4 linked regions of the Lonchura striata genome follow. The protein of the gene in region 4 interacts with the protein of the main gene of each other region in a biochemical or structural test. Links are inferred from orthologs where the notes say so. Each region holds a gene or a part of one and is shown on either strand. Other genes may lie near its edges.

Region 1 (7,641 bases), on a different chromosome or scaffold from region 4:
ATCTAATCTAAACATACTCTTAGTCTGAAGCCATTCCTCCCTGTCCTCTCACTATATGCTCTTGTTAGAAGCCCCTCTCCATCTTTTCTGTAGGCTCCCTCCAGGTGCTGGAAAGCTGCAATTAGGTCATCCTGAAGCCTTCTCTTTTCCAGACTGTACAATCCCAATTCTCTTTGTCCTTCCTCACAGGAGAGGTGTTCCACCCCTCTCATTATCTTGGTGTCCCTCCTCCACACTCATTCCAACAGATTGATCTCCTTCCTATGCTGAGGACCCCTGAGCTGGATGAGAACTGTAGGTGGGGTCTCACCAGAGACTGCAGCAGGATCACTGCAGCAGGATCCTCTCCCTCACCCTGCTAGCCACGCTGCTTTTGGCACAGCCCAGGACACACTCGAACTTCTGGGTTGCAGGCACACATTGCCAGCTCATCCACTAACAACCCAAAGACCTCCTCTGCAGATGCACATGAATACTTGTGTGTATATAATGAACTTTGAACTCAATCAATTTTGCCTAAATCAACCAAAATATTAAGACATCTCAGAAATAACAAACTGCTTATAACTTTTGCAAAAAAATCCCTATCCTTCATACCAGAGCTCCTAAATACCTCTGATTAAAGCTGAAGTTCAACATACAGACTTTTTCTGCAAACACCATACAAAATGGGGGGGAATCTAGTAATTCTTCAGCATATTGTTCAAAAATGAGACAAATCTACAAAAAAACCAGCCACTAAAAATACTGGCATCAGTGAATACCAGTAGCAATATGACTTGTTCCTTCAAGAAAAACATCTTTAGATGTGGCTCCTAGGGACATGGTTTTGTGCTGGGTTAATGGCTGGACTCAATGATTGTTGTATTGTGTTTTTATATTTCTGTAACAGCTCTGTAATGGTTTGTCCCTCCACTCCCCACTTTCTCCCTGTGTTTCCACCCCAAGTTTTCCTGCCGTTCTCTCAGTGCCAATCTCCCTGACAATGCTTAGTCACTTCCCCCTCCACTCCCTGGTACCTGATCCATCACTCTCAGCTCCCCAACCCATTCTTCCCAAATCTTCTACCGGAGCCTGGATTAAACCTGAAACTGTTTCCCCAGCCTTAAATCATGCCACTCATTATCTCCTCCAAATGCTGCCTCTCCTCCAAACAAGGCAGGAAGTGTGACTTTCTGCCTTAGCTGCTCCCTGACTCTCCTCGAGACACAGGGGAGTGACCCCTGCAGCTAACTGTGCCTCTGCCAGGCAGGTGAAGCCAGGGGGCTTCAGCTTTGCAGCGGCAGAAAATGATCTTAATGGTCTTTTCCAACCTAAACAATTCTATAATTCCATGTAATCCTGCCATCCAGCACCACTTCAATGATGCCAGATTGAGGCCAGAACACAGACAGCATGAAAAACATTCTGCTTCTCTTGGATATTCAACAGATACAAGTGTCTCGTGGTCACATAAAGCATGCCAGCATTAGACTGTGTTGTACAATAGACTGCCTCACAATTTGAGAGCATTGTTTAAGGCCTCTAACCTAGTATTTCCTTCCTCTTCTACATTGAGTACATTGATTTCAACATTGATTTGCAGAATGAGCAATGATTTATGACCACATTTTCTCTACAGAGCCAATGACATCATTTTACACCCTTCCAAGAAAGGGCATATAAACTCCTTTAAGATGGAGTTGTATCTGCCATAAACATTCACAAATGAAATTATCTGTATATTCAAGAGTAATGCTTTACATCAAAAGATAATCATCATCAACAGAGTCAATGAAGACCCCTCTCCTGTTTACTGGACTACTGAAAGTGTATTTTTTACAACAAGCAGTATATTTCCAGTACAAGGTCTACTTACTCCAATGAACTCAATCTCATCTTCACTTCCCGAAGCTGGTGATTTACTCTTGTGAAGGCTGTCAGAGTTATGAGATTCCATTATCTAAACAGAAACAAAATATACTATAGAATTTCACTTTTTAAGTTTAATTTAACTAAACAGTATTTTCCATTTTACGCCTTATTTGGCTTTGCAGTCTATCTGTATTCAACAAGTCTCTATCATTCACTCCCAATTACCAGTGACACCACAAGTGGTGATAAACAACTCTGACTGGAATCACACTACTCCATTTTTAATCTGTAAAACGTGGTTTTATCTACAAAGCATACCAATACCTACACTCCTCCAGCAGCCGTAGCTGCAGTGTAGCAGCCCAAGGACATGCCTGAACCTGAAACCCCAGCAAGAGCCGAGACCCGAGCTCCAGCCTAGCGGACCGCCGAGCCGAGGCCGGCCCGTAACAGCTGCGGGCGAGCTCGGGCGTTTTCAGCAGCTGCGGCTGCAGCGGGCCGCTCCAGGAGCGCGGCGCAGGGCCGAGCTTCCTGCTCCAAAGCAACGGCGGGGGCTGCGCTGCTGACTCACGCCCCCGCCCCGCAGGGCCCGCGGCACACGGCTCCGCGGGCTCCGCACGGTTCCTCACGGCTCCGCACGGCTCCGCGGGCGGCACACGGTTCCGCACGGCTCCGCGGGCTCCGCACGGCTCCGCGGGCGGCACACGGTTCCGCACGGCTCCGCGGGCTCCGCACGGCTCCGCGGGCGGCACACGGTTCCGCACGGCTCCGCGGGCGGCACACGGTTCCGCACGGCTCCGCACGCCGCGCTGCCCGAGCCGCGGCTCGCCGGGCCCCGCCGCGACCGCTGCAACCGCCGGCCCGCGGCCCGCCCCGGCCCCGCTCACCCGCCGGGCCCCGCGGGCAGCACAGGCCCGACCCGCCGCGTCCCCGCTTCCCCTGCGGCCCGGGGGCGGGGCCGGGCCGCGGCACGGCTCGCCGGGATCGGGAGGTGCCGCCGCCGCGCCCCGCGTTCCCCATGGCAGTGCCGGCGCTACCGCGGCAGCGCCATGGCGCGGCCTCCCGGGCCGGCGCGCCGGGCTCTTCCCTTCTTCTGGGCCCTCTCCTTCTTCCCTTCTCCCCTCGCCCGCCTCCAGATGCGCTGCATCGAGTTCCGGCCCGGCGCGGGAAAACCCGCTCTCCGCTTCCGGGGAGGAGGAAGGGCGGCTGCTGGGGCTGGCAGCCGAGGGGCGGGAAGGCGGCAGAGTCGCCTCTCCGGGTCGGGCCGGGCCGCAGTGCCGCTGCCGTGCTGTGCCTGCTCAGCCGGCCAGCCCCAGCCACCTCACACGGGGCTCGGTCCAGCCCGGGCATCTGCGAACGTCCTTTGCGAAAATCTTGCGGGAGGCGTTGTTGCCAAGGGCAATGGTGAAGTCCAGATACACAATGGTCGTTGCTCCACTCATCTACCAGGGAAGTCAATTTATCACACAAGTTTGTCAATCTGGTCAAGCCTGGTTTCCCCTTGGTAAAGCCATACTGACAGCACAATGATTTTCTTGTCACTGAGATACCTGGAGATAGTTTTTGGGAATGGCTGTTTCATTACTTTCCCAGGGATCAGGATGAGGCTGACTGGCTTGTGGTTCTTCCTGCTTTCCTCTTTCCTGCCCTTCTTGAAGATGGAGGTGATATTTTCTTTCCTCCAGCCTCAGGCATCAGTCCCAGACCCCATGACCCATGAAAGATAATTGAGAGTGATCTTGCCATGACATCTGTCAGCACCCTCAGCACCTGTTGCTGCATATCCTGTCAGGGCCCATAGATTTAGCATGCATATGCCCATCTTGCTAAGGTGTGTATATATTCCCTGTCTTGATCCTCTCCCACCAAATGTACATCTTCCTTGGTCCAGCCCTTCCCCCTGATTTTTGGAGCCTGAATCCCTGAAGGCCGGTCTTGGTAGTGAAGACTGAGGCATGTACTGTGTCACTATATCATCTGTCTCATTTATCAATGGGCCTACATTTTCCTTTGTCTTCCTTTTGTCACGTATGTTCTTCCAGAAGCCGTTCTTGATGTCTTTGACATCCCTAGCTAGGTCCAATTCTAGTCGTGCCTTATCTTTCCTAACTTCATCACTCTATGCTTGAGCAATGTTTCTGTATTTCTCTGAGATAAGCCATCCTTGCTTCCATGCTTTATATGCTTCCTGTTTGTGTTAGAGCTTGACCAGGAATTCCTTGTTCATCTACGTAGTGGCATTTTTGCCTAACTTCCTGTTCACAAGGATAAACTGTTCCTGTGCTTGGAGGAAGTTATCCATAAATATTAACCAGCTTTCTTGGGCCCCTCTTGCCTCCAGGGCTATATCTCATGGGATCTTCCAGGCAGATCTTTGAAGATACCAAAATTCACTCTCCAGAGTGATGAGCCTGTTTTTTATTCTTCACCCTCCCCTCAGGATCCGGAGCTCCACCATCTCATGTTCACTGTGGCCAAGGTTGCCTTGAGCTTTACATTTCCCACAGTCCCTTCATGGGTACAGGTCCAACAAAGCATTGTTCATTCTTGGTCCTTGTTGACTCCTTTATGACCAGAAACCTCCTGGATTACTTATGTCCTGCTGTATTGTCCCTCCAGCAAATATCTGAATGGTTGAACTCCCACATTAGTACAAGGGCTTACAAATACAAGGCTGCTCCTATCTAGGAAAGGACCTGGGAGATTTCTCCATTATGGTGTCTCATAGACATTTCTTTGCTTACATTCAAGAGCTGAAGGTGATCTCTCCTAAGCTCCATCTTCCTGATTTTGTGTTCTCTTTCTCCCATATCACCTTATGCCCTTTACTTTTTTCAGTGTCCATCGATTCCCCACTGTTGCATCGCTGTAAACTCTTCTTGCCGCAGCACCCCGAGCGGTGCCGTGCTGGGCGGCGAGAGGGAAGAGAACGGGCGGCCGCTCCCCCTATGAACTCTGCAGTCCCAGTTGGTGGTGAGGGAACAGACGGAGGCGACATGGGACTTGGGGATGAACAGGATGGTTTTATTCAGTGAGCCCCAAGACCCCCTTGGGAGGGGGGGGCAAAGGTTTTATACAAGAACTCAGGAAGACGGGTGTAGGAACAGTAACCAATAAGGGAATAGTAGGGGAGGAGTTTAGGGCAAAACTAACATATCACAAACCTATCAGGGGAAGCAGGGGAGTGGAATAACACAAAATAAGCAGTAGGGTGTCGAGCCTCACTAAATAGACAGGGAACGCTCTGGAAGCAGTGGAGGGGGCTAGGAGGAATGACAGAGAAGGTTCTAGGGAAAGGGGTAGGGAAAGGGAGGATTGACAACTTAGAGATGAGGGGTTAGGGAAGAGCTAGGGAAGACTGACAACTGGGGAGAGGTGGAGATTAGGGATGGGGGGAACAGACATTGAACAAATATCAAATTAAAGAAGAGACACACCACCGCACCCCACAAGGCTGCTGGTTACTTTCTTGCTTAATTATTACTTTCAATCTCTGCTTACATGGTCATAATCCTAATGGTAAAAATAGCTTTGCCCTGCTTAGAGAGGTGGATCTCATCTCTGTCAAGCAGAACGTGATTTGCAAGCAGGGTCTCATGGTCATACAACTCAAATCCTTGTCACCAACACAAGTTCTGCCAACAAGTATTGACTTGTCCTATCTGTGCCCCCTCACTGCTAGGATTGAGAAAACATCACTCAGACCCCCACACCCATGATTCTTGCTATTTATCTGCAACTGCTCTCCTGCTTGTTCATATAGCTACTTTTTGCCACCAAAGTAAAAATCAGTATGAGTCATCTTTACTCAATGCATTGACTTTGAGTAAACTGAATAGTGTAAATGTCACCTGTGAGTGGTGTATCAGTATAAAAGAGCTGCTTGCACACCTGCAAAGCACTTCACTGGTGTGTGCTTATCAAATCCTGTAGACACAGGAGAGAAAGAATTCAAGGCTGCTTGTTAAATTTTGGTGTTATGCAAGAGAATAAACAACTATCAGCAATATAATATAATATTGTGTAGGGATTAATTAGTGCATTTATTTTTCTTGAAAACACAGAGTTACTAGTGTTAGTTTTAAGCCTCTTTCCATGTGAATGTAAAAACAGCTCTATGGTAGAAGATAGACATACTGAGCTGCTTGTTATATCTACTAGTTATATCCTCAACAGCTGTACGACTTAATCACTCTTGTTGGAGTATATAAACTACACTCATTTGTCTACTTTTATTTCATTATTAAAATAATGGAAACCTGACTGTCACTTGGAAAGTCATTGTTGCTGCCTTAACTTTAATATTTTGCATTAGTAACTTGAATTTGCTAACAGAAAATTGATAGCAGTCATTCTGTTTGTAGCTTGTATTTGCACTTAATAACTTTTGATTCTTGAGAATAGATAATATAACAACCTGTAGTAAAAAGTTACTAGGGCAGCATGATGGAATTGTATTTCCAAACTCTGAGACTCTATGCAAATGATGCTCAATTAAATATGAATTTTTCAGTAGTCATTCATGTAAATGTTTACCCTTGCAATGACCAGTCCAAATTTCCTCCTTGTATGTAAACAATACAGTTATGGAAAAAAAATAGTAATGGAGTTGCCATGCAATAATTTACAATATGCTAACAAAATTCTGAATTCCAAAATTTGTGTATTTCATCTAATTCCTGTGAAAGAACAGTTGTCAGGCTTTGGGCCAGCTTAGGGGTGTTCTTATGCAGAACTTGCTGGGGAGCGTAGGGGAGATTAGGTAAGAAGGAGCAGGGGTTTTTGTTAGATCTTCATGAGATCTCCAAGTCCAAAGCTCAAATGAAGTCTAGATATCACATAGATTGTGGAAGCTGTTTCAGAGCAGACGATCTTTATAAACTTAGTAATGCTCTCTAGAAGCTAATTCCACGTATTCACTATATGCCCTTAATTATAGAGTAGGTTTAGATAAAATATTATTAGGAAGAAATGCCTTACTGTGAAGGTGGTAAGGCACTGGAACAGGTTGCCCAGAAAAAATGTGGATGTTCTATCCCTGTAAGTGTTGGATGGGGCTTTGAGCAGCCTGGGGTAGGGGAAGATGTCTCTGCCCACGACAGGGGAGTTGGAACTAAATGATCTTTAAGGTCTCTTCCAACTTGAACAATTCTATGATTCTAATTCAAATATATTTTTCAAACATATTTCAACATTCTTGCTTCTCTCCTTGCTCCCTTTAAGTGAAACACTGATTGCCTTTATAACCATTGATTTCCCTCTTGTATCAACATGGCATAGTGCCACTTACTCTTGATCTAGAAAACTCAGATATCTATTGGTTTTGGTTTTTTTACTCCTATCTATATACCCTAATAACAGGGGACATGAACTCGACATGCATTTAACTCCTTGATTCATTAAACAGTATATTTTTTCAGTAAAGCTTTTATCCAATTCTTCACATATCTCAATATTCCTCCTGTCTTAGAAAACAAGCACTTTTCTGACCACTTCATGATAAACAGTTACCAAATTTTTTTTCCATGCTAACCTTCAAATTCAATCTAATATACAGTAATATGAATAAATAGTTCAAATTATTAGTTTTAGTATTGCTTACCTTTTCAGTAGTAAATCTCCAGTTACTAAATGCCATACAGTCTAATGTCACTACTACAGCTTCTGTAGCAGCCATCAATCTTCTCCCATTCTGAGGACTGCAAATAATGTACCCTCTGTTGCTCATATCAGAATTTTACACTTCAGAACATCACACATTTACCTATAACAAATTAATTTTTACTT
Region 2 (7,641 bases), on a different chromosome or scaffold from region 4:
CCAAATAAGTACATTTAATAAATCAGAGGTTATCTTGGTTTGTCTCCAGTTAAATAATGCTAAATTATTTTCCCAATATACATTTTCAGTTATTGTACTCTGATGTGTTCCATCACTGGTAATTGTGTCTAAGTAGTTACATTTCTCCAAATCCTGTTACAGCAGAAAACACAGATGACTTGCTGTTTTTTTCCATAAACATTTAATTCTTCTTTCTTTTAAAAGTAAAATTAGGTATCATCTGATGCTTGTATGATGTCTCATTATGAAATTCACTCTAGAGTAAATTCTCTATTATAGGAAGTATCTTTCCTTTTTCACAATTGCATGTAATTCTTTCCTACCTATAAGCATTCTCTTTGAATCACACCCAAAGCTGAAGTTATACACACAACTCTTTACTAAAATGTGAGCAACTACATTATGTACACAGGATTTGCTATTTGAAACATAAATTAACATCCCACCAAGTTTTAAATTATTTCCTCATCTTCAGGGACAAAAGATGAGGAATCATTTCTTCTGTTACCCTTCAATTGTTTAACTCATGGTCTTATTAAGAAACCACAGACTATAGAGAATATATTACTCAGACAGAGAAGCATCCTAGTGGTTTCAACACACTAGCAAGAATTCTAAGAAAATAAAGGTGGTTTCAAAACAACCTATAACTGAACTGCAAGTGGTTGCATATCCAGCAGATACATGCCAAGCAGATTAAAGCCAGACAGCTGAAACTATTCTGTCCCTACATCTATCCTTCTCACCCTCCTCAAGGACATCATATGATCATCTACAAATGAACCACCACCTAAACCAACATTTGTTTCAGCCTGGCACACAGGCTATGGCCCCATTCAATTCAGTGCTACAACAATATTGTTCTTCTGCATGCCAGTTCTACAGCTGACATGGAACAGGTCTGGTCTTAGGAGCTGGCTCAGAAATCCTACCTTCACCATTTAAAATGCACATGAGAGAAAGAAAGAATGTCCCACTGTTTTTTGAAAAAATAAATGAACACAGTTCCAACTAAAAGCCAATTATTTCCCTACAACTACTCTTGAGTTGACAAAAACACTTTTAACTTTTACTACATTTAGAGAATGAAAAGTTTGATCATTTCCAGTTGTAGGAAACTGTTGACTCACCATAATTTCAACCCCATTACATTTAAGAACATGTTTCAATAAAAATGCCTATTCGGTAATTTTCACACTTCATTCTGCAGTTTTCTGTATGAGCTGTAAAACTTTCAATTACTTGGTCGAACCTAGATGGTACAATCTTAATTCTGAAAAGTCATCCAAAGACCACAGTTGATAAAGATTGCAAAATATTGTGAAAAGACAGGAGAATAGCTGCTCAGCTTAGACATGTTCCCATGGCTAAACTGTGTGATTTCAAGTGGCACACCCAGAAACTTGCACATTTTTTTTAATATACCTTTCCATGCTGCCAACTTCTTAAAATTAAAGAGAATTACCAACATAAAATGCAGTAATTACATCCATGGAAATAGTCCACCAGCAGAACATACAGGATTTGTTCACTCTAATAATACTTCATTTTCAACAGCTCCAAGATATAGAGGGACACAAGAACAAGTTTGCTTGTTAAGACTCGTTAAAAGTTCCCACCTCTATAAAGCACATGTGTCTGATTAAAGATACCTGTCCATCAAGATCTAGTGTCTTCTGCTTAAACATTAAAGAAGTTACCCCTCAATGCTGAGCAAGAGAAAAGCAGGGGAGTTACTGATTGGCTGAACCAGATCCCTTCAGGTCACCTTTGCTCCTCCTTCCTCTCAGGTCTCACCAAAACCTGAGAGCATCACTCTTACTACTGACAAGGAAAGCACCTCAGCATTGGGAGCCAGCACTCTCAAAGGACTATAAGGAGGTTCAAAAAAGGATTCATCAATTCTAGAGTCAGCTATCACCAGCACCCTCCCGAATCTTAATACTTCCGACCAATCCACGAAAGGCAGTAAAACACCCCCTTCTTGGGTCTGTTACAGAGTTACAACTTTTGCAGGATGATGAAGTTGAATGCCAAGATGGAACAGCAAGCACACAGCTCCTGCTTCCTGTCTCTGAAACTTGGGAACTTCAGGTATTGTCCTTGCACACAGTTGGAAAAGAAAACAGGATCAACACAAAGACCCTCTGCTAGCTTTGCTCTAGGAACAAGAGGCAATACCGGCAACTCTGGTGGGTCAGACGGACCATATCTCGCTTTGGAGGACAGCAGCTTCAAGACAGCCCTGATGACCCACCCGCTACCCCCAGAAGTTTCCCACCTGCTTGCTCACAGACTGACCTCTTCCCTACGGCTCTCAGCACCCCAAGAAGCCCCCCAGAGGGATAAAATCTCCCCTCCTGTAACATCAATTCCGAGCCCCGTCCTCCTCCTCCTGTCCCGGAGCCCTCCACCGAGCGGCGGGGGCCCTACAGCGCTTCGCTTTCCACGCCAGCCCTCCGCTTCTCCCTTCCTTTCAAAGCCAACCCGCGCTCTTTCCACACACGCAAGGGACGCAAACGGAAATAACAGTAGTAATAATAGCAAAACACGAGCAGCAAATCCCACGAACAACATGCAGCCCCACAACTTACCACCCAAGTCAGTCCCCCGCTGCCGCCGCCGCCTCCTCCTCCTCCAGACTTTGCCATTTTCTGCCCGTCTCTCCTCAGCCGAGGCGAGGGCGCTCGGAGGCGGCCGGGAGGGCCGGCACCGACTCCGCGCCTGGCGCCGCTCCGCGCCCGCCCTCACCGGCGCCCGGCACCGAGCAAGGGCGCCCGAGGGGCCGCACAAAGCGCCCCTTCCGCCGGCGGGGAGGCGAGAGGGAGCGAGGGCCCGGCCGGGCCTGCGGCTCTCGCTAGTTTAAAGGGACGACGGGCCGGTCCCTTCGCCTCGCGGCGGCAGCGGCGGCAACAACAGCCACCGCTATCGCCGCCGTAGCGCTGCTGCCTCCCGCCCCCCTCCTCACCTCCGGGCCGTCCCCCCCCGCAGCCACAAAGGCCCGGAAAACAGATTAATAATAAAAAAAATCTCCCCTTCCCTCCCTCCTCCCTCGTCCCCTCCCTCCCTCGTTCACTCCCTGCCTTCCCGCCCCTCGCGCGCGCGCGCTCCCGCGCAGACCCCGCGCCCCCCGCACACACGCACACCCGGGACTGGCCCGGCCCCCTCCTTCTTCCCCTCCTCTCTCCACCCTGCGTCCCGGCGCCCGGTGCCGCTCCCCCGCCGTCTCCTCCTCCCCCTCCTCTCCCCACACAACCCCCGAAGCGCTCCCGCCGCCGGGACACCGCGCGTAGACAATAAATAACCGCGCCGGCCCCGCTGGGCGTCCGCGCCGCGGCCGCTTCTCCCCGCGCAGCCGGCCCGGGCCTCTTCTCCCCCCGCGTCTTCTGCCCGCCAATCACGGGCCGGCCCGCCAATCGCGCGCTGGAGGCGGGAAGGCTGCGCGGAGCGCCGGCCAATCCGAGAAGCCAGAAGGAGAAGCCGCGTGTGACGTCACCGAGGGTGGCAACAAGGCGCGAACAGCCCGCACGGGGGCGCTGCCGCGCGCGCGGGGGGCGGTGCGAGGGGAGGCAGCGCGGTTGGGTCGGGATAGGGATGGGGTCGGGATAGGGATGGGGCGGCTGGATCGGGATAGGGACCGCGGCGAAGCAGCGCCCAGCTGCCGGGTCAGCGACGGGCACCCTCGCCCCTTCTTCCCGCTCTGTGACGGCGGGCAGGGAGACGCCTCGCTTTCCCGTGACTACACAGGGGCATTGGTGTGGGGACTGGCAAAGCACGGCTGTCCCGTTTTCCTGGTGTTCCAAGTGGATGATGCTGCGATGCGTGGGCGGAGAAGAGGTGATGCGGTAGGTGGGCCAGGTGTTCGAGGGTTCGGCGGGCAGCTGTCCCCTTTCCGCCAGCCCGTAACTGGTCCCTGCAATTGCCACCGCTGCGACCTGCGGCGGTTACCAGCAGGCTGGAAGTCCCAGTGCTCCAGGCAGGAGTGTATTTACAATCCACTGCCCTCTTCTGGGCTCTGGGGATCGGCCCGAGGAGCTCTTTAACTCGGATAGCTCACAGACCTTTATCCTCCATTTGAGCATCATCGTGTGAAGTCCTCATAGAGGGTCACACAGCACAGGACCCCGTTCTGTACGCAGCACACAACCAACCCTGTGTAGTACAACCCTATTCGCCGTTTTGAAAAAAATGCTGTGGCCAAAAACCATCTACTTCCTAGGTCTAACCAGTGTCTGTATAAAGCTCAAAATTCATGTCATTTTAGGTATCAGCACAAAAAATACGTACAGCTTTGCATACTTTACACCAAATGTATATAATACTTATATATGTATAACTGTAAATATTATAATCAGCTTCTCAATTAGCAATTTTCATTCTGCTGTGTGAAATGCAAAGGACCTACCCAGTCCAACCTGTTCCATTACTTGAATTATTAAGAATGTAAAGTCTCAACAGGAGGGATCAGTAGGACCACTGCATCTGAACTAGCAGACAAATCAGACAACCATTTCAAAGGAAGAGCAATTATTTAAAGGTTTTTCCTTTTGCAAAATACTTTTCCGGAGGAGTAAAGGGATTGGAAATTAAACAGCCACTTTTGAGGAGTCAGTTGTAATGTTCAATTATGCCTCAAGGGAAGGATCAGAAGAATTTCTAGTAAATATTGCTTATTTAGCATAATTTTACTCTGCCAGTTTCTAAGGAAGCTATTAAACTAATATCTAAGTGCTGCATAAGGATTATGGAAAATAATGGCATCTGCCTAGAAGGGACAGTAAGTTATCTGCTCCAGCCTAGTTTTATTGCAGCTCCATGTGCCTCTGAGCTGTAGGCAGTGTTTTCTTCTACTTTTGGCAGAATCACAAGGTAACACTTGCAGGGTTATGCCTAGTGCTTCAGAATTCTGAGCTTGCTGATTAGAACTGTGTTGATTTTTTTTTTTCCAAAATCTCAAATTCATATATAGAACCCATTACAATTAATCATGTACAGTGAACTGCTGCAATGAATATTGCGTGGATCAGAGTAAACAGGAGTGCCTCTAGTCACAGCTTTTTGCATTGGTAGAGGACCATTTCTGTATTCAGCAGAAAAAGAGCAAGTTTCAAACATTAGTATACTATGTTCTCATTAGCTCCAGCTGTTTAGTAAACAGGCTGTCCTTAGTGTGGGAAGTGTGCCTTTTGCAATGTGAGCCAAGCAGAAGATAGCAATCTAACTTGAAGGCAGCCAATGCCATATATATTAGAGAGAGACAGAGGGAGTTTCTTCTTGGCAGCTACTGCTCTTTGAACATGCATGGTCAGACATGTTCAGTCTGTGTCCCACTGCAGCAAATTTATGAGGAAATGCTGATGTTCCCTCAAGCATTTTCTTTAGTCCTTGAAATTACTTTGTCCAGGTTGGATTTTATTTAATTCTCATCCTTACTATGCTAGCTGCACGGCATTTTACTGGCTTATTGCTGATGTTGGTTTTTATCCCTAATACTTATATGTGTATGCTGAGTGGTTGCATTGCTAGTCATATAGGATTGTGGAACAAAGTTCTCATGAGACCAAAAGCAGCTGCTTCTGTGGACTGCAGAGGTGGAGCAGTGAAATGAGACTGCTCATCACATTTTAAGAGATCCCTGTTAAAACAAACACAGAAGTAGATTTGAGCATGAATCAAATTCATGTGCCATAACATTTTGATAGGAGTGGAATTACTTTACTGAATGCAACCTGCCCAAATCATGCACTACCAGTTCATGTCAAATACTTCACACTTACTGTGTGACATTTTAAATTGGTAATCCCCTTGAGATTGTACACGAAAAGTCCTATTTCAATTCATTGGAGATTTACTTGTTCTCACAGTTGTAGACCATAACATAAACAGAAGTATCCTAGAGGCTTTCAAATCAATGATCTACTTAAACCAGTTTCACTAGTGCTTTTACTAAGCAAAATATTTATTGTAATACTACTTTGTGTTCAATCATTTTAGCAGTAAGTACGTATGATCTTTAAGTATTTCTATACTTGGTATGTACAAACTTCCCATCTATTCGAAGTTACTTACTGCTTCTAGTTTACTTGCTCTCTAATAAAACCTTTTCTTTCAATGTGGCTTTTCTAGACACAGAGTTAAAGGGCCTAAAATATGACTATTTGTGAAACTATGTACATTTATCTAATCTGTGAACATACTCAGATACAAGCACTTACTTAAATGACCAACCACAGCTCTTTTTCTGCAAACTACACAGGAAAAAGTGTAAATTTTTGCTAAAATATTTATGAAACTAAGTGTTGATGCCCATTACATTATACATTCCACATTGTATGTAGTTGTAATGAGGTATAAACAAACATTGCATATTTTAATATTAAATATCTACACTCACAATAAAATATTTTCCATATTCTACTGCATTTTAAAATTTCATTATAATTCATTAACATAATTTTGAAATAATTGACCAAATTATTGAGTAGGGTTGCGGCAGTACAATATGAGAGTGACCAATACATTTGTACTACGTTGATTGCGAATGACCTTCATGCCACGGTTCCAAAGTATTTAAGAGAAGCCTACCCATGGCTGGATCACCTAACGATATACATTTAGCCAGGTCATGTGTTCTTACACAATTGTATCTCAAACACCTTCATTGAATTAGCAAGAGGCCATACTAGTGGTTTTCTGTGGGTGTGCACTGTCAATGCACTGCACGACACTCTCAGCTGAAATGTGCCCAGGACTTACATACCTGATGTATCCATGGCACTTTTGTTAGTAGCTGTTCCTGGGGCCAGATTGTTCCACAGCCAGTCTCTTGAAAAACATCAGGTAATTTCCATCTTAATCCTCCAGAAACATGTACCACTTGTGACAGTCTGCTTAAACCCTGTTTGCCCTCCAATTCTTCCTCTGGTGACTAACCTGTTACGTGCTGCGCTCTTGGCAGAGGTGTGGAAAACTCAAGTGGGGCATGCTGTGAATGCTACTGCCAGGCTGTTGCTGGGGAAGAAGTCCAGCAGAATCCCCAGGGTTAGCTACAGGATGGACCCCTGGGCTCCATCCTGGACTGCCCATTGCATGGCTGAGACTGCTACACTGACCCACCTGACTTCCTCCTGGATGGCAGCACCTCCCTGCTGCAGGAGAGGCAGGGTGTGTTACAGACCTGACGTGCTTGGCCTCTCACCTGAGCTGCACAGTCTCTCACACAGAACAGGAAAGTTGTGTCACTTGTAAACTTTATCTGTGACTAGAGGGGCATCCAAGCCCATTCAATCTCCTCACTGTCAGCTCAGTCTTGAATTGTGATACACTTTCACTGAGCAGCATAATTGCTGTTTCAACAGAGGCTGGTCATAGAAATTAAATATATTTGTATTGAAATTCCTTGTATAGGACAAAGCTCCCTTGTGCAGTGACCACACACAGCAAGAGATGTTGCATGCAGAGGTGAAGCAGGGGAAGCTGAGCTGGCCATACTGGGACGAAATCTCAACATCAATAGAATTACTACCCATGCAGACATCCACTGAGTCTTTAAGAAGAGTTGGTGGCAGTAGAAAAAGATGCAAATGCCTGGAGGGACAAAAACAATGTTAAAAAACACAG
Region 3 (7,765 bases), on a different chromosome or scaffold from region 4:
GGCTTGGCTTTTTATTCCAGATTTGTCCCAAAGTAGATTGGATCCACGTCAGGAAAGACTCCAAGCACGAGCTCTGCCAGCTGCTCCTTGTCTGCAAAATCTAAAAGTTGCTGCTCCTGAAGCCAGGCATTTTTATTTGCATGAGAAAGCTGTAGCTGACTGTAAGATAGTTTGTGATCTGATTTTAAAAGAAAAGGATAAAAATAAGTCCAATTGTGTTCTTGTTCTGCCTCAATTTAGCTGCTGGTCGTTCTCTTTTGTGCTCCCCACATTTCTGGAAAGCTGGTTGACACTTATTTAGGTTGGCACAAACTAAATATAACCAAGTGTGTGTGAAAGAGCATGGACTGGGTCAAAGCTTCCAGAGCAGCAGAAAGAAGCACTTTGCTTTAAAATACCAAAATCCAACTCTTTCTGAGACAGCTCAATGAAACACACACAACCTGAACAAAAAGTGAGCCCTCCATTCAACTCCTGAATGCTGCTGAAATTTTTATTTTATTTTTTTTTGCCAGCTTTTACAGTCCACAGCCTTCTCATTCAATCCTGAATAATAGCTTTGAATTGGGCTGTAAAAGCTTCCGAAGTTTGAAGTCTTTTGACAAGTTAATTTAGCTGTATGGTAAAAAGTTTTTCCCCCAGATAGAATAAAGCCATCATCTCATGAATGTAGCAGTCAGCCAAGGGAAAGAAAACACCATTAGGATTAGAAATGATGGGCTTTCTGGAGATAGTTTGTGGTTTAGTGTGATCTACTATCAATATTTCAGTAGAAAAATATCCTACTCGTCATCCAGCTGCAAGTCAGTCTCTTCACATAAAACCAACACCCAGGGACCAGGCTGCAAATGTTTTTATTTCTATTTTTCTATTTTGCTTTTTTTTTTTTTCCCTGGTCATATTTTTCTTACATTTATTTAGATTTTAATGGTTTTTCACACCCTGGATGATGCTTTTTTTTTTTTTTTTTTTTTTTTTTGCCTGGTTGAAAGAGGCCGAATAGAAAAATGGATCAATATTTCTTTGAAGGTTTTCTCACTACAGAGAGACACACCCCACATTTTTCTTCCAGTAGCTGGATGAAAAGAAATATAATAAATTGATACACATTTCCTTTATTTTTAATATTAATAATTGGAAAATGAGCACTGATAAACAAAGTGTATCCATCAGTTATTCTAGCCTTGATGTCACAAAGAATCCATATTAATTTTAGACTTATTTCTGCTTTTTATCTCAATTTAAGCCTTAATGTGCTACTAAAATGGGGTGAACAAAAAAAAAAAAAACAAAAACAAAACCAAACAATTGAGGGGGAAAAGAGATTTCTTTCATACTCTTAATTCTTCAGTTTCATTTGGAGGGATGATGACACCATAAGAACTTTTGGGCAGTTGTTTGTAATGGCCACAGAATAATTTTTCTCTCTGCAGTAGGAATGATGATCTTTGTGGATCCCCTCCAAGTCAGGCTATTCCATAATGTAGTTGAGAGCATAGCTGCTAGATAAATAGGAAGCTTATAGAAATCCAGAAAAATACTGAAAACAAAATTGGCAAACATTTTTATTCTAAAAGTGTCTTGTACTCAGACATTGTAAAACGACTGCCATAACAATCCAATATATCTCCATCAGCAAAAATAAAGCGTAAGTATGGAGAAGAAAGCAAACTTTACATTGTGACCTCCACTTTGAACTTCACTTGCTTGTTTTTCCCCCCAGCTGGGGAACATGGACTTGATTTTGCCCAAAACAACAGCAATAATTTGTTTCTAAGAGTCTGGCTCTTACTGCTTCAGGGTTTCAGCTCTTCAGGCCCTGAGTGCTGCAGACTTGATGAAGTGTTAGGTGTGCAGACAAGCTGGGAAGCAGCTCCTGCAGCCAAACACAGGCGTGGGGGCTCCGAATTGGAGGAGAACCACCTTGTTCTGGATCAAAGCAAGCTGTGAGGCAAAGAGAGAACAAGGAGTTACAGCTGAAGCAAAACTCACCAGGATTAAAAAACCAGTAACAACCGAACAAAACTCCACAATAAAAGGTATGCTGGAGGAAAACACAGGAAGGGGCAACGTAAATTTAACATTCCCAGTCACATCAGAGCTGTGCTGTAAATTATGTGGGTTTGATGGGGTTTTCCTTTTGATGGCAAAAAGTAGTAAACCAGTATACTGTGGGACAGATACAGAGCAGGGAGTGGGAAATAGCACAGAAAGGTGACAGGTAGGACAGGAAAACCAAGGGAGGTCAGTGATGGAGACTGAATGATCAGGAGGAAGAAGAGGGAGCCATCATCAGATTGGAACTTGTGTCTAGGCTTGACTTTTCTCCAAGGACCCAAGTGTCACTGCCACTTGGTGTCTAGGCTCCAGAGGAAGCTCCTGCTGGCGCTCTTCCTAACTCTATCCTCCTTTTTTTTAGGCTGTGGAGTGGAAAACTGAAGCACTCTCTTTTCCTTTCACCAGCTCCGTGTGACTAGCGAGGGAAATTAGCTGGAGTGTTGTGATGGCTGTTTCCTGCTTGAGAACATAAGAAATGGAATCATTCCTGACAAACAAGGAGTTCAGCTAAAGATGAGGTGGAGGTAGGCGTGAAGTTCTGTAATTGCTTTTTATTTAAATCTTTATGAATTAGCTCTGCCAGGGTGTTGGTTTTTATTTTAGATTTTTATTTTTTGCTTCAACAGGCCTCTGAGTAAGTTTTTCAGCTGCAAATACAGCAAAAACAGACTATATACAGCTATAGCCAATATGTTGGATTGAACATATAGCAAGAAGCCTTTCCCTTGTGAATCTGAGGTCTAATTTCCATGCACAACGACAAAGGTTTAATTTTCTGCCATTATGCATAGGTTAGCCTAGACTGGGTATTAATAGAGACACATACTCACACCCACAGCCACAGGTACAGCATCAATCAAAACCTGAAGGTAGAACTTACACTTCGTGGCAACTTCCAGGGCACAGTTCTCTCCTTTTGTTTCCTGTTTCCAAACTGCTCTAGCAGTGCAGCGAGGAAAGGCAGCTGGGCTGCTTGTAACCCACGTTTTAAGGATTTGGGACCAATTCTCCCCCTGGCTGGAGCAGAAATGGGGACTGCAGGGGAGGGCAGACACTCACCTGGCTGCCACAGCCGTGCCCTGCACCAGCCATGAGCAGCACACCTGTTGCCTTGGCAAATATTGCCCTGCTTTGGTAACCTTCTGGCCCTGAAGGCCTTCCACCCACAGGTCTCTTGGCACTCAAACATAATTTGGGAGGTTATTTATACACACGTTCCCTTATCCGTCCGAGCGCACAGCTGGCCCCAAATAAAGAGGGCAGAGCAACTCTGTGAAACCTCACCAACCAAAGAACAACAAACAAGCCCACGAGCCTAAAGAAGCTGCAAATGAAACAAAAAGGGCTTCAGCTTCAGGCAGAAGTGGTGTTCTTAATGCCAGTGGTGCTCTCAGGTGTGTATTCCACGGAAATGTCACCATTTCCTGGAGCCTGTGGACAACGTGGAAAAAAATCCCGAAACTTTAATGGCTGGATCAATATGCCAAGGGTTTTTGTAAGGGTGGCCCTTTCAAATGAAATCAGAGGTGGTAAATATCTCCGAAAAGGTAAAAGAGAAAAGGAGCAGTGTTTATATACTACCATGTATATGCAGATTTGAGAGACGGACAAAGTTGTTAGCAATTCCCATCAAGTCCCAAAATTTATGTAAATCCAGATGGCTGAATGACAGGAGTTCCTATTTTTTTAAATTTTTTTTTTTTTTTTTTTTTTTTTTTTTTGCTATAAGGGAAATCTGGAAGTTTTAAAAAACAATTTAGCGAGAGCCAATTAATCAAACCCACCAGAAGCGTGCTGGGATGGCTGCCTGTGAGTAAGGAATGTCATGTTTCAGCTTGCCTTAGGCAAGGATGGGAAGAAATTCCTTGGAAGCTTAGCAGGAAATCTCCTTTCCACTATCCCAGGGTGCTCCAAGCTCTGTCCAGCCTGGCCTTGGACACTTGCAGGGATGTAGGGGCAGCCACAGCTTCTCTGGGAAACAGAAGTAATGGAATGATACATCGCCGGTGGGATGTTCCCACTGGATTGTGTCCCACAGGATGAACTTCTTGCACCCAATACTGCAGTGTTTTCCTTCCCATCGTCCGGAATGTTTGGGAGCACGACTTGGGAAGTTTTGGGCACTGCATAAATCAAGAAAATACGAGTGAAACGAGATGTGTCAGTTCAATGGGTAATTCCACGTACAACTCAAAAATCAGTAAATTGCTGCGAAAACGGGGGTAGAGGGAAACATTACCGGAGAACTCCTTTTTATTTTCATTTTTAAATTTCCTCTCGGTAATTCAAGCAAATATGTTGAACCGTGCCCTGTCCTTTCTGTCGTTTACCCCTCGCTTCAGCTGTTTGCTGTTACAGGCGACACCTGACGGAAAACACAGGACGGCCCATGAGGGAGCGGGACCGTGGGTGCAGAAAATCGGGGGGTAAAAAACCCCAGAGTTCCACGTTTTATCACACTGTGGTCTCTACGGCGTGGATCGCAGGTGGGGGCTGGAGACGCCGGTCCTGCGGTCCCGACCCCCGATCCCCGCGGGCTCTGTGCCAACATGGCGGCCCTGCCCCGCCCCCGGTCGCCATGGCGACGGGCCGCGCGCCACGGGGCGTGACCGGGGGCGCACGGGGCGGGGCCCGATTGGTCCCCTTCCCCCCGCGCGGCTATAAATAGCCCGCGCCCGCCGATTGGCTGCGGGGGAAAAATGGTCGCACCACGTGACTCCTCCATCTAAAAAGATTTCCAAGATGGCGGAACCCGTCACGGGCTGAGTCCGTCGGTGGCGCGCTCCGCGCCGGGGGGGCCATCGCCGCGCAGCGTCCCCGCCTCGCCCGCCGCCCAGGTCAGTACGCGCCGCTCCGCCGCCGCCGAGCCGCGCCGCCCCCGCGCCCGGGCTGCCCGCGGCGCCGGCCCTTTAAGGCCGATCGCCTCCCCGCCCGGCGGGCTCGCGGCGCGGCGGGGCCGCTCCCGGGGGCCGCTGGTCGCCGCCGCGCCGCGGCCGCGGGAGGGGGAGGTGACGGGCAGCTGGCGCGGCCAATCGCAGGCACCCGCGCGGTGGTGGCGGGCGGATTTGAGCCGCGCAGCGCCCCAGGCCGCGCGCTGATTGGGCGGCACGCCGGGCGGGGCGGGGACCCCGCGCGCCATCGGCCCGGCCCGGGCGGGGCGCGGGGGGCGTGACGGGCAGCGCCGCCGCCCACTCAGCGCGCGGGGCCCGGTTTTTTGTGAATGGGGGGGCGGGGCCGCCGCCGCCTGCAGCCCCGCCCCCCGCGCGCTCGCCCCGCCCCTCCCGGGCGGCCGCGGCTCCGCCTCGTCCCCCCCGGCGGCGGCGGCGGCGGCGGCGGCGCTCGGTCCGTGCGGGGCGAGTCGAGGCGATGCGGGCAGCGGTGAGTGACCGGCGAGGCGAGCGAGCGGCGGGCTGCGGGCAGCGCCGTACGGGGGCCTGGCGCCGCGGCTTGGCGGGGCGGGCGCGGCCCTGCGGAGGGGGCGACGCCCGCGGCTCGGCCCTGGGGCAACGGGCGGGCCGCGGCCCGGGATCGGTCCTTCCATCCTCTCCTCCCGGGCCTCCTTCCCTTGTCCTTGTCGTGGGAATAACGCGGGACTTGGAGAAAGTTTGCGTCCTCTCACCCCGCTCCCCGGGGCTGTCGGGCTCGGGCCCCGCGGCACTCACCTCCTCCTGGAGAAAATGCCCCAAAATGGCTTTTTTTTTGTGCCCGGGAGGAGCAAACAGGGGGTGCTGCCCTCGGCAGCGCGGCGTTCTCAGAGAGCCCGGCGATGGCAATCACAGGTCCGAGGCCCAGGGCTGTAGCCTCGCCGCCACAACTCCGGTTTTGGGGGTTCGAGGGGGGATAAAGCACGTGTGCCGCTGCGAAACCTCAAGCCTCGGCTTGCATGGGGCGAAATGAAGCAGAAAAAGCCGAGCTTTGGGGTGGCGGAGGATCGCGGAGAGAGGGAGGTGTTGCCCAGCAGCCGCGTGTGGGTTTTGCTGCAGGGATTTATCAGGGGAAGATGCTGCGCGATCCCGGCGCTCCCCCAAAATATTGCCCGCTGCCTGCCCCAGATGTGCTCTCGGGGGTGTTTGTGACGGCTCGGCGGAGCAGATGGATTTACATAACAATAATTTGACTGTCAGTGCTCGGCGCTGGGCAGCGGCTGGACGGGAAGGCAACCTGCCCTTCGCTCAAAGCACTTGCGTAATTGTGTTGTGCGCCCACTCCGCAGGGGAAGGTGCTGGTTTTGGTGGTTTTTTTGCCTGTCAATAGACTGTTTTGGCTGATTTGCATAAATCAGACTCGTCGCCGCTAACGCCCGTACGGGAGGATTTCGTGTTCAAGCCTTGCTTCATATTCCGGGCTGGATTACAGCTCTGAAAATGCTCCCAAGGAGTGGGGATCTGTGCCGGGAAGGTGTGGGTGGATTCAGGGTGTGAAAATGCCTTGTAAAACCCTGGGATGGGGCGTGCAGCGAGGCATTGGCTCTCTCCCGGCTTGCCGCTTCTTTCCCACCAGGCAGCTCGGTGCGGTGCTCGTTTCCCCAGCCGCATCACCTTGTCCTCAGAGCGCTGGTCTGAGGCCGCGGAGATGGAGCAAGCGTTATTTTGGCCCCGGGAGCTACAGAGAGTGAATAATCCCCTGGCCAGTGCGTTTTGATTTACTGCTATTATGCCCTGTCAATAAATGGGACTCATGCCGCATTTATTCCCTGCCCTCAAAGTGCTTTGCTTGTTGCCAAATCTACCTGGAGTTAATTATCTGAATTGTGCTTTTTTTCTTGTTGTTGTTGTTGCAACGGCAACATTTTTAAAAGCTAAGGAGCTCTGAAGTTTATATAATAATCTGGTTCTTGGCCGGGTTTCCTGGTGGTTTTTTTTTCTTTTTTTTTCTTGTGTGTGTGTGTGTAACGCGGTCGGTCGCGGCGCTGAGTTTTAATAATTTCTGATCTTTCCAGCACCACTGTTAGGAGTTCTCAGCCTAAAAAGCTGCTGCCGACGCTCTGCAGCCTCGCTGGAAGAGTTGAGGGCATTGAATTTAGGAAAGCTCAGCTGCTTGTATACAAATATACAGCAATTACAAGGCAACAAAGTTATTGCAGAACCCTACTGTCGCCATGGCAACACGCTCACTCAATTACATTTGGAAATGTAAAATGCCACCCAGTTAGAGTAAGTTTTAGTGACTGCAGATATTCTGGGTAAAGTGAAATGTGGAAGATGCTGCTTTCCAGGATTCTCTGCTTTTTCCCTCCGTCCATGGATGGCATGTGCATCTGACAGATTCCCAGTGTTGATATTAAGCTGTGCCCTTGATGGTCTAAACTTAGGGAAAAATATCTTTAAATCTTCACAATTTTAACTTTGCCACTCTGCTTTTTTTTCGTTTGTGTTGTTTCAGGACTTAGCTTTAGAAAGGAGACAGATTAGAGAAAGCATTTTGGAAAATTGGCTTAGAACACCAGAAGAATTTGTCATTTGCTCAGCAGGATGGAGGCATGGAAGGAAGCACACGTATGGCATGAAAAGCTTGTATTCCCTTGGGAGGAGATGTCTGTTGGGCAGCCTGTGTCTGTGTGCTGCCATCTCCTAAAATCTCCTAAACAGATAATCCTAAAGTAGAGAACTGCTAGGTGTGAATTACCAAGTTCTTGAGAAGTCCAGGGTGGAAGATAACAGGTGGAGGAGATGCAGGTCCGGGTGTGGGATATCGGTGACCTCCACGG
Region 4 (7,255 bases):
TCCACAAAAATCAGGAGCTGTCTTTAAAAGCTTCTTAATGAACAGCAGCTTTAAAGGGCTAAATAGATCTTATTGTCCAGTTTGCCTAAATGACTGAGAGAAGGAACTCTTTTCATTTTCAGACCAAAAATGCTAAGGGCTAAAATGCTTTCCAGGGCTCATTTGAGATTCAAGAGACATACAATTTCTAAAAAACAACTAGTCCATTTCAACTCATGGACTCTAAAATATTTTTTACAAATGTCTGAACCAATTGCATATGTAAGTGTTCCTATATGGCTTGGATTTTCAGTATCCAGATGGGGTAAGAGCACACTAGAGAAGACAGTACACTTACCGTCCACTTTATTATTGCCTTTGCTGAAATATAACAACTTTTATGAACAGCACTGGTAATAGAGAAGCTTTGAGGAAGATTCTGCCCCAGGAAATTGTCACAGAATATTTCTTTGCAACTTAGTTGAACTTTACTTAATGATGTCTGCCAAGGCATAAACTTCTCAGAAGTTCAGTGAGTAGATACTTCTGCAAATACAGCTTTCTGGAGGCTGTCTGGAAAGACATTTCACAATAACTTGAGGATATTGTATCTTAATAAGTACTATAACAAGAGAAACTTTTTTTAAAGTCATTTTGCTACTTTGGGGGTGAGTGGAAAGGGAAGAGGTTCTGTGACAGAGCTCTCCTTGCCTTAGAAAGCTAAGCCTAAATTTTGACCCAAGACCTGTTGTGATTTTGAGGCCTTGTCATCTGAAATGAGTAAAGAGTAAGAATAAAAGTATTTATTATCTATATGATTCTTGCTACTTTTGAAGATTCTCCAAAAGCTTATGCACAACTTTACTCACATTAACTTGGCTCATGTGTACTTGCTAGAAAGAAGCAAGTGCCAAGGCCCTCTTAAAAGGAATGTTACCAACCTCTCTACTGGAATTAGATCACCGGACTGAAGCAGTATCAAATGGCAGCTTTTTCCACCTGCTTCTTACCTCAACCTAGCTGTGAGAAATCAACTTCCTGTGCACTCTTTAGGATCACCTACCCAATTCAACATTTTTTTTCTTTTTAACCTTTCCCTCCAAATCACTGGTCTCAAAATTAGTTGTGCATCAGCTGTTTGTGCTTATACCCAAGTGGCCATACTTGCAACATGTCATTTCCTGGATAGTGGATTAGCAATAACACTTTATTTTGTGCCAATTCATTATCTCTGAAGTGTTCTTACTGCAGCAAAATTTGAGTTAGGATTTGGTTTTAATGCATTTGCATTAACCAAAACTCATAGCACAGACACTAGACAAGAAACTGAAGAAACTGAAATTTCCAGGGAAATTTCCCTGGAAAAAAATCTGCTAGGGCTTCCCAAATAATTTGAAGGTGGTTACAGTTAACCATCACTTTCAAAACAAACAAATGAAATGTGTATGGGTATTTTTTTAACTTCCTTTTCATAACACTAGTGTATTGTAAATTGCATGAAATAAACCTGGTTTTTCCCTTTTAAAGTGTGATGTCTTACATCTGTCTTTTCTAAATGCACTAATTGATATTAATAGTGTCATATCCTGTGACAATTCTAGTTTAGCACTTGAGATGTAAAATGTAGTTGCACATTTGTGCAGTGATTCAAAGCATTAATGCTTTCTTCTCTGTAAAGAAGTATCCTTTACTGCTGCCCCAAAGACTTTGTCACAAAAAAGTTAGGTCTATTCAGATATATATCAGTTGGGAAATTATTTTCCTTTGCAGTTGCTGTGACATGCTGGTTATTGTAGGAGGAAATAGTTGTCTCTTCTATGGATATATAATCACATGAAAAAGTTTTAACTAATGACTTTGCTTACATTTTCTTTTGCACAACTCAAAAACCACCCTGCCTAACAGCAAACATTCTAGAATCCGCTAGTTTGCTTTTTAATATAAGTGCTTCCTTTGTTTGAAAAACGAAGCTATTGGAAATTGATGCTTTGTAATAAGTCAAACATATAATAAGTTTCAAGGATAGAAATGGCTTAAGGAAGTAAACTATAAGTACAAAGTACAGGTTGTTGAAATTATCCAGGAAATTTGACAGTTGTGTCCTCTACAACTATAGAAAAGTTTATAATTGAGTATTAGTATTGAGAAGACCACTGGACAGCTCTTACTTCCCAAACTGCTAGTAAGAACTTGAGAAGCTAAGACCCATGATTTTTAAATTCCTAAAGCCTCTATAGTTACATGTGAAGCAAATTTCATCTTAACAGTTTAGTCAGTTTTAAGTGCAAAGCACATTCTATTATTTCCTTGTATATTCAGCAACATCAGTAAAATTCTAATTTTACTAAACTGTTTTGCTGCATTTAATTGCATTTGAATTTTACTAAAATAAGTGCTAAGAACAAACACTGCTGTAGTAATCAAGTATAGCAATTACAGTAATTAAGTAATCAGTGTGTGCACCTGTATTTTCATCAGACTGTCCTACTAAAAATATTTATATTTTAGAGTCAGCCAGCACGACTTTCAATCCAAATTCATATTCTATATACCTGTTGCTGTGTTTTCGCCATTTAGGAAAAATGAGAGCACAAAAGAGACAAGTGTCTACCCTGAACTAGAAACCAGGTTATAAAGGGGACATAAACAACTTAGTCATTAGCAACCTGTTTTGATCTTTTATAACATCTAGGGTTCATTTGGCACTAGTTTTCATTTCAGTGAGAAGTTTCACTTCAAAAAGATGAAAATGATCCTGCAAATTCACCGTTTTGGGTGCTGTTCATCTTTCAGTGTGCTGAACTCTTGCCTCATAAGTCATACACACATGTATGTGACATTCTCAGAGACTGTAATGTGTACAATTTCGTGAGAGAGGTCCTGCAAGCCAGGTGTTGACAGTTTCCACTGCTTTTCATGTCACTGTGTGGAAAGTTACACAGGGGAGTATGTATTTATCCTGGTCTACAGTGTGCATTTGCCCCTGTTGAAAGGTTTCTTAGGTAGAGTGATCTTTGCTGAAGATTTTGATTAGGGCTGATTGGAATCCAGGTGATTATTTATTGAAATAGTCAATCCTAGACTTCTGAAGAAACCATTTTGAGCATTAATACTACATAGAACATCTTTCAAGTAACATTGATACAGACTAGCACAAGGCAGCGATTTCAGGACTAAAAATTCCTCAGTTTCATTAAGAAAGACAAGTTCAAGATGGGAATAGAATGTGATTCATACTCCACTTGCCATTTAAAATGTGTTCTTAGAAACCCAAACAACATCCCTCCCACTCGTCCCCCGCCAAGGAAACCAAACCCAGGTCAGAAATCCCGTAAAGGTCAGCGAAAGCAGCGCGGGCCGGAGGCGAACGCAGCCCGCCCCCGAGCGGCTGCCGGCTCCGATAGGCCGCCGGGCCCGGCCGCCGCCGCGGGAGTGCCGCGGGAGCCGCGGCCCCGCCCCGCGGGCCCGGCCGGGCAGGGGCGGGGCTCGGCCCGGCTGGAGCGCGGCCCGCAGACCCGAGCGCGCCGGCGACACACCAGGCCTTCGGAAGCGACAGGCGGCTCCCGGAGCGCCAGAGGTAAAGGTTGATTCGGCTCTCGGCCGGAGCGGGGCAGCGGAAGGCACGGGAGGTGCTCGGCTTCGGTGTAGCCCTGCGGAGGGGTTTCTAGTGTTCCGTACTCAGGCACTGCTGGGGGCACCTCTGGGTCCTGTGTCGTGAGGATGCGCAAAGCGTGACGATGGGATCACAGACGGATCGGGCCGAGGGACAGAATAGCGCTTTCGCGCTCGTCGGCGAGGCGAGAGGGAGGGAAACTCCGGAGTGGAGACAAAGCGGCGGGAGCGGGAACATCCGGGTCACTGACGCGGCCTCGATCCGGGACACGCGCGGCGGCGGCGGCTCTCGGTGAGGCCCGCCCGGGAGTGGGGCCGCGGCGGCCCCGGGGTCGGGGAGCGGGGCCGGGCCGGGCGGGCGCCCCCCGCCTACGGCGGGACGGGACGGGAGCGGCGGATGGACGTGCGGGCCTGGCGACTGCTGCCTTGTGGCCGGGCCGGCCGGCGCGGCGCGGCGCTGCCCGCCGGAGGTTCCGAGCGGCTCGCAGCTCTTGGCGGTGGCGGGCGGAGGTCGCCGAGCGGGGCGTGGAGCCGCTCGGTCTGCGCGGTCCGTCCCGCCCCGCCGGGTGGCTGCCCGGGAGCGGCGGGCGGGCCCGCGGTGCCCCGTGCAGGCCTTGGGCGCTGCCTCGGCCCCTCGCGGGGCCGACGGGACCGGCGGCCCTCGGTGGTGGCGGGCGGGCCTCGGCCCTGTCCGCTCACTTGGCCGTCGAACACCGAGCCCATCGCCGCGCGGCATCTTCTGTTGTTTAATGAGCGACTCCGGTCGCCGCTCGGCCTCTTCTACCTTTCTTGCCGCAAGCAGAGGAGACTTTCTATCCTAGTCCAGAGTTAGCGTGCTTTGACTAAAGCTTAGACCGTGGCTTTCTCCACCCTTCTGAAAAATAAAGTTGCAATAGTTCGGGGCAAACTATTTCGATAATACTGACTTTCTATGTCAGTATTTAACCTGCAAAGTAAAAAATGAGGCTAGCAATCTTAACGTTTTGGGGACTTTTTTTCTTGCTGCTTGGAATCAATAAGTCGTACTGAAAGTTCTTGAACCTCAAAGAGCATATTGTTGATGTATTTAGAGAGTTGTTTGTGGCACAGGAACGATTCCTTGCGAGATGTGCGTTTTGTGTCTGAAAGTAGGTTATTCCACCTCATCGGAGAGTGTAAATGGGTAAGATATTCTGTAATGGGACACAAAAATTTGCATTTATGATAAGCGTGATGATTTTATTTCGTCCTTTTTTTAAAATAGGCAGTAGCAGCAGCAAAGGCAAGCTATTGAGTAAATTTGGAAGTTTCTGTTAACTTTCTGAGTTGATGGCAGTAAAAGGGACATTACTACCTCTTAATGGCAGGGGTGAATTTGGGGGATTCAACTCAAAACGTGAAGAGTGGTCTCTTTGACTTTCATGGCATGTGCCACAAAATAGAATTGAATAGACTTCCTCTGGTGTAAAATTCTTTCTGTTAATGTAGTACATAAATAGATTGGGATATAGAGAGTTTATATTGCCAGTTAGCTTGTGAAGGGATGCTTAACTAATGGGATCTTAGTTTGTGAAATGAGCTTTCAGTCTTGTTTAATCTTTATTTTCTGTTAGACTGATGAGGTTTTAGCTGCTCGTCAGTGTAACTGAAGTCTATGGAAACCATATATGTGAAGCTTGTTGTCTGTCATACATGCTGAAATTTTTCAGTGCTTAACTAAGTCTAATGCCTCAAGATTTGGAAAGTTATTTGTAGACCATTAGAAAAACCTTTATTGTACTAAGGCACAGTATAGTGTGTAAGAAAAGCAAGTACTCGGGATTTTTTTTTTTTTTTCAATTACTCAAAAAGTTACTGGGTTACTGATGTTCTGCAGAAGATCCGCTGCTTATTTACCCAGTGAGAAACTGGCGTTTCCCTTGAGGTTCATGTTGTAATTAATTGGCTGTTAGCCACAGGAAATGGAATAAATATATTTGAAAGCATCCTGTAATGCATTTTTTTGGCAGAAAAGGTAGCTGAGTTTGGTGAACTATGTGGGAATATTTGGATGGTTTATAAGCAAATATGCCTGTGATGGGAAAGTTAGTATTGGTACAGTGGACTACCAGGTACCAAAGGCACAGCTGAAATTCTGCTGTACATTCAGTTCATTTACATCTCTTACAACATATTAAAACTTGCTCATGACATAGTAAAACTTGCAGCCTGTATAATTTGGTTAAGGGAGAGGATTTTTGTTGTCTTTGGTTTCTTGGGTTTTTTTTCAGTTCTACTGGTATTTTTTTCAATGGCTCTGCATCTCCAGCTTGTGAGCAGACTAAAATCTGAAGTCATGTGTACACATTCCCTAAGTCCTGCAAGTCTTCTGCCATAATTAATACAGAGGTGGATGTGTTGGGACTACTGGAGGAAAATCAGACTGAACATAGGAATATTTTTGTGTGTGTGCATGTCCACTGAGTGTGAATTGTCCCTTTTAAAAAGCTTTATCTGACATTAATTTAGTTGCTACTTTGAAAGTGAATTAGGGAATATGGCCATCTAGGCAAAACAGTCTTAAAAGGTTGGAGAACAGATTTAAAATAGATATTGTTCTAGGAACTGCATAAGCTGCTTAAAGTTCTACAATTCATATGCTTATAATAGTAGTAGACTGCAGTACTTCTTATAAATAATCAACATATTGAGAGGTTGTGAAATTTTGCATAATCCTTAACCAGTGTATAAGGGTTTGTTTTAATAGAGTGGTAACACTGCTGAGAGTCACTCTGTGAGCTCAAGTGGAAGCATTCTACTATTCTGCTGTCAAAAAGGTTTATTATGGTGGTTACCATGCTTGGCTATTACTAAGGCCGTGAAGGTTCAGAAATAGTCTTCAGTTTATACTGGAATTGAAAATCTGTCTTGTGCAATGAGCTGCTGGCTCTTCCTTAGCTAAGTTGCTGCCTGTTCCTGATGTTGTCTAGAAGTTTTATAGCAGCATCACTGCAAAACTGAGATGACTTTGTTAAATTCTATGCCCCTGTTGCTTTTGTGGGGAATACTGGCTTTCAATGGGAATTTACCCAAAAAGTAGTATTTCTTATTCCCATTTGCAGAAATGGGAGTAATACAGGTGTTTGCCTACAGAAGAAACTTGCCATATTGCATGTGGTGTAGGAGGGAGATAAAGAGTGTGTCATTTGCACAAGTAGGAAGTCTGCACACTTTTTCCATTACTAATACTGTTTCTATTGTCAAACTACTGTCAAAGTTTCTTCGAAGATGGGGTTCAAATATAAAACAATAAGGTAAGAATGGAATTTTGTAGGTCATGTCCAGTAACTAAGAACTTGATGGCATAGGGAAATTTGATGTTATTCCTGATGATAAATTCTGCCAGCTGTGAGAAACATGTGGCTAGGTTATTGAAGTGAAAATGAGAGGTCAAAATTACTCTTGAGTGAGCAGGGGCTTATAAACACATAATGCATTGTTTATGCTATAAGTTAAAGTATATGCTAACAGCAATTACTTTTGTTTCAGAGGGACTCTGAATATGTCTGGCATAGCTCTTAGCAGACTTGCACAGGAGAGAAAAGCCTGGAGAAAAGATCATCCGTTTGTAAGTACCAAAGCCACCAAATCTGACTGCAATTGTTTCAGTGTTCTGGTGATGATTTTTTCATTACCCTGATAGGAT

The links.
Region 1: the proteins of UBE2I (region 4) and ZNF451 form a complex in vitro, tested with the Homo sapiens proteins (2 studies listed by BioGRID and IntAct, with this or other methods). The link is inferred for Lonchura striata from reciprocal best matches to the Homo sapiens genes UBE2I and ZNF451.
Region 2: the proteins of UBE2I (region 4) and TOP2B form a complex in vitro, tested with the Homo sapiens proteins (2 studies listed by BioGRID, with this or other methods). The link is inferred for Lonchura striata from reciprocal best matches to the Homo sapiens genes UBE2I and TOP2B.
Region 3: of the proteins of UBE2I (region 4) and HDAC4, one has a biochemical effect on the other in vitro, tested with the Homo sapiens proteins (3 studies listed by BioGRID). The link is inferred for Lonchura striata from reciprocal best matches to the Homo sapiens genes UBE2I and HDAC4.

The regions. Positions count from the first base shown.
Region 1 is NC_134605.1:89,238,945-89,246,585, forward strand, and holds the start of ZNF451 (E3 SUMO-protein ligase ZNF451), read right to left. Parts: upstream 3,019-7,641; 5' UTR 2,892-3,018; intron 2,847-2,891; exon of another isoform or gene 2,742-2,846; intron 2,354-2,741; exon of another isoform or gene 2,183-2,353; intron 1,943-2,182; 5' UTR 1,940-1,942; coding exon 1,859-1,939; intron 1-1,858. UniProt on the Homo sapiens protein: E3 SUMO-protein ligase; has a preference for SUMO2 and SUMO3 and facilitates UBE2I/UBC9-mediated sumoylation of target proteins. Plays a role in protein SUMO2 modification in response to stress caused by DNA damage and by proteasome inhibitors (in vitro).
Region 2 is NC_134603.1:118,068,393-118,076,033, reverse strand, and holds the start of TOP2B (DNA topoisomerase 2-beta), read right to left. Parts: upstream 3,003-7,641; 5' UTR 2,673-3,002; coding exon 2,616-2,672; intron 1-2,615. UniProt on the Homo sapiens protein: Key decatenating enzyme that alters DNA topology by binding to two double-stranded DNA molecules, generating a double-stranded break in one of the strands, passing the intact strand through the broken strand, and religating the broken strand.
Region 3 is NC_134610.1:36,921,238-36,929,002, reverse strand, and holds the start of HDAC4 (histone deacetylase 4), read left to right. Parts: upstream 1-4,759; 5' UTR 4,760-4,895; intron 4,896-5,341; exon of another isoform or gene 5,342-5,436; intron 5,437-7,765. UniProt on the Homo sapiens protein: Responsible for the deacetylation of lysine residues on the N-terminal part of the core histones (H2A, H2B, H3 and H4).
Region 4 is NC_134618.1:17,602,461-17,609,715, forward strand, and holds the start of UBE2I (SUMO-conjugating enzyme UBC9), read left to right. Parts: upstream 1-4,247; 5' UTR 4,248-4,697; coding exon 4,698-4,753; intron 4,754-7,098; coding exon 7,099-7,177; intron 7,178-7,255. UniProt on the Homo sapiens protein: Accepts the ubiquitin-like proteins SUMO1, SUMO2, SUMO3, SUMO4 and SUMO1P1/SUMO5 from the UBLE1A-UBLE1B E1 complex and catalyzes their covalent attachment to other proteins with the help of an E3 ligase such as RANBP2, CBX4 and ZNF451.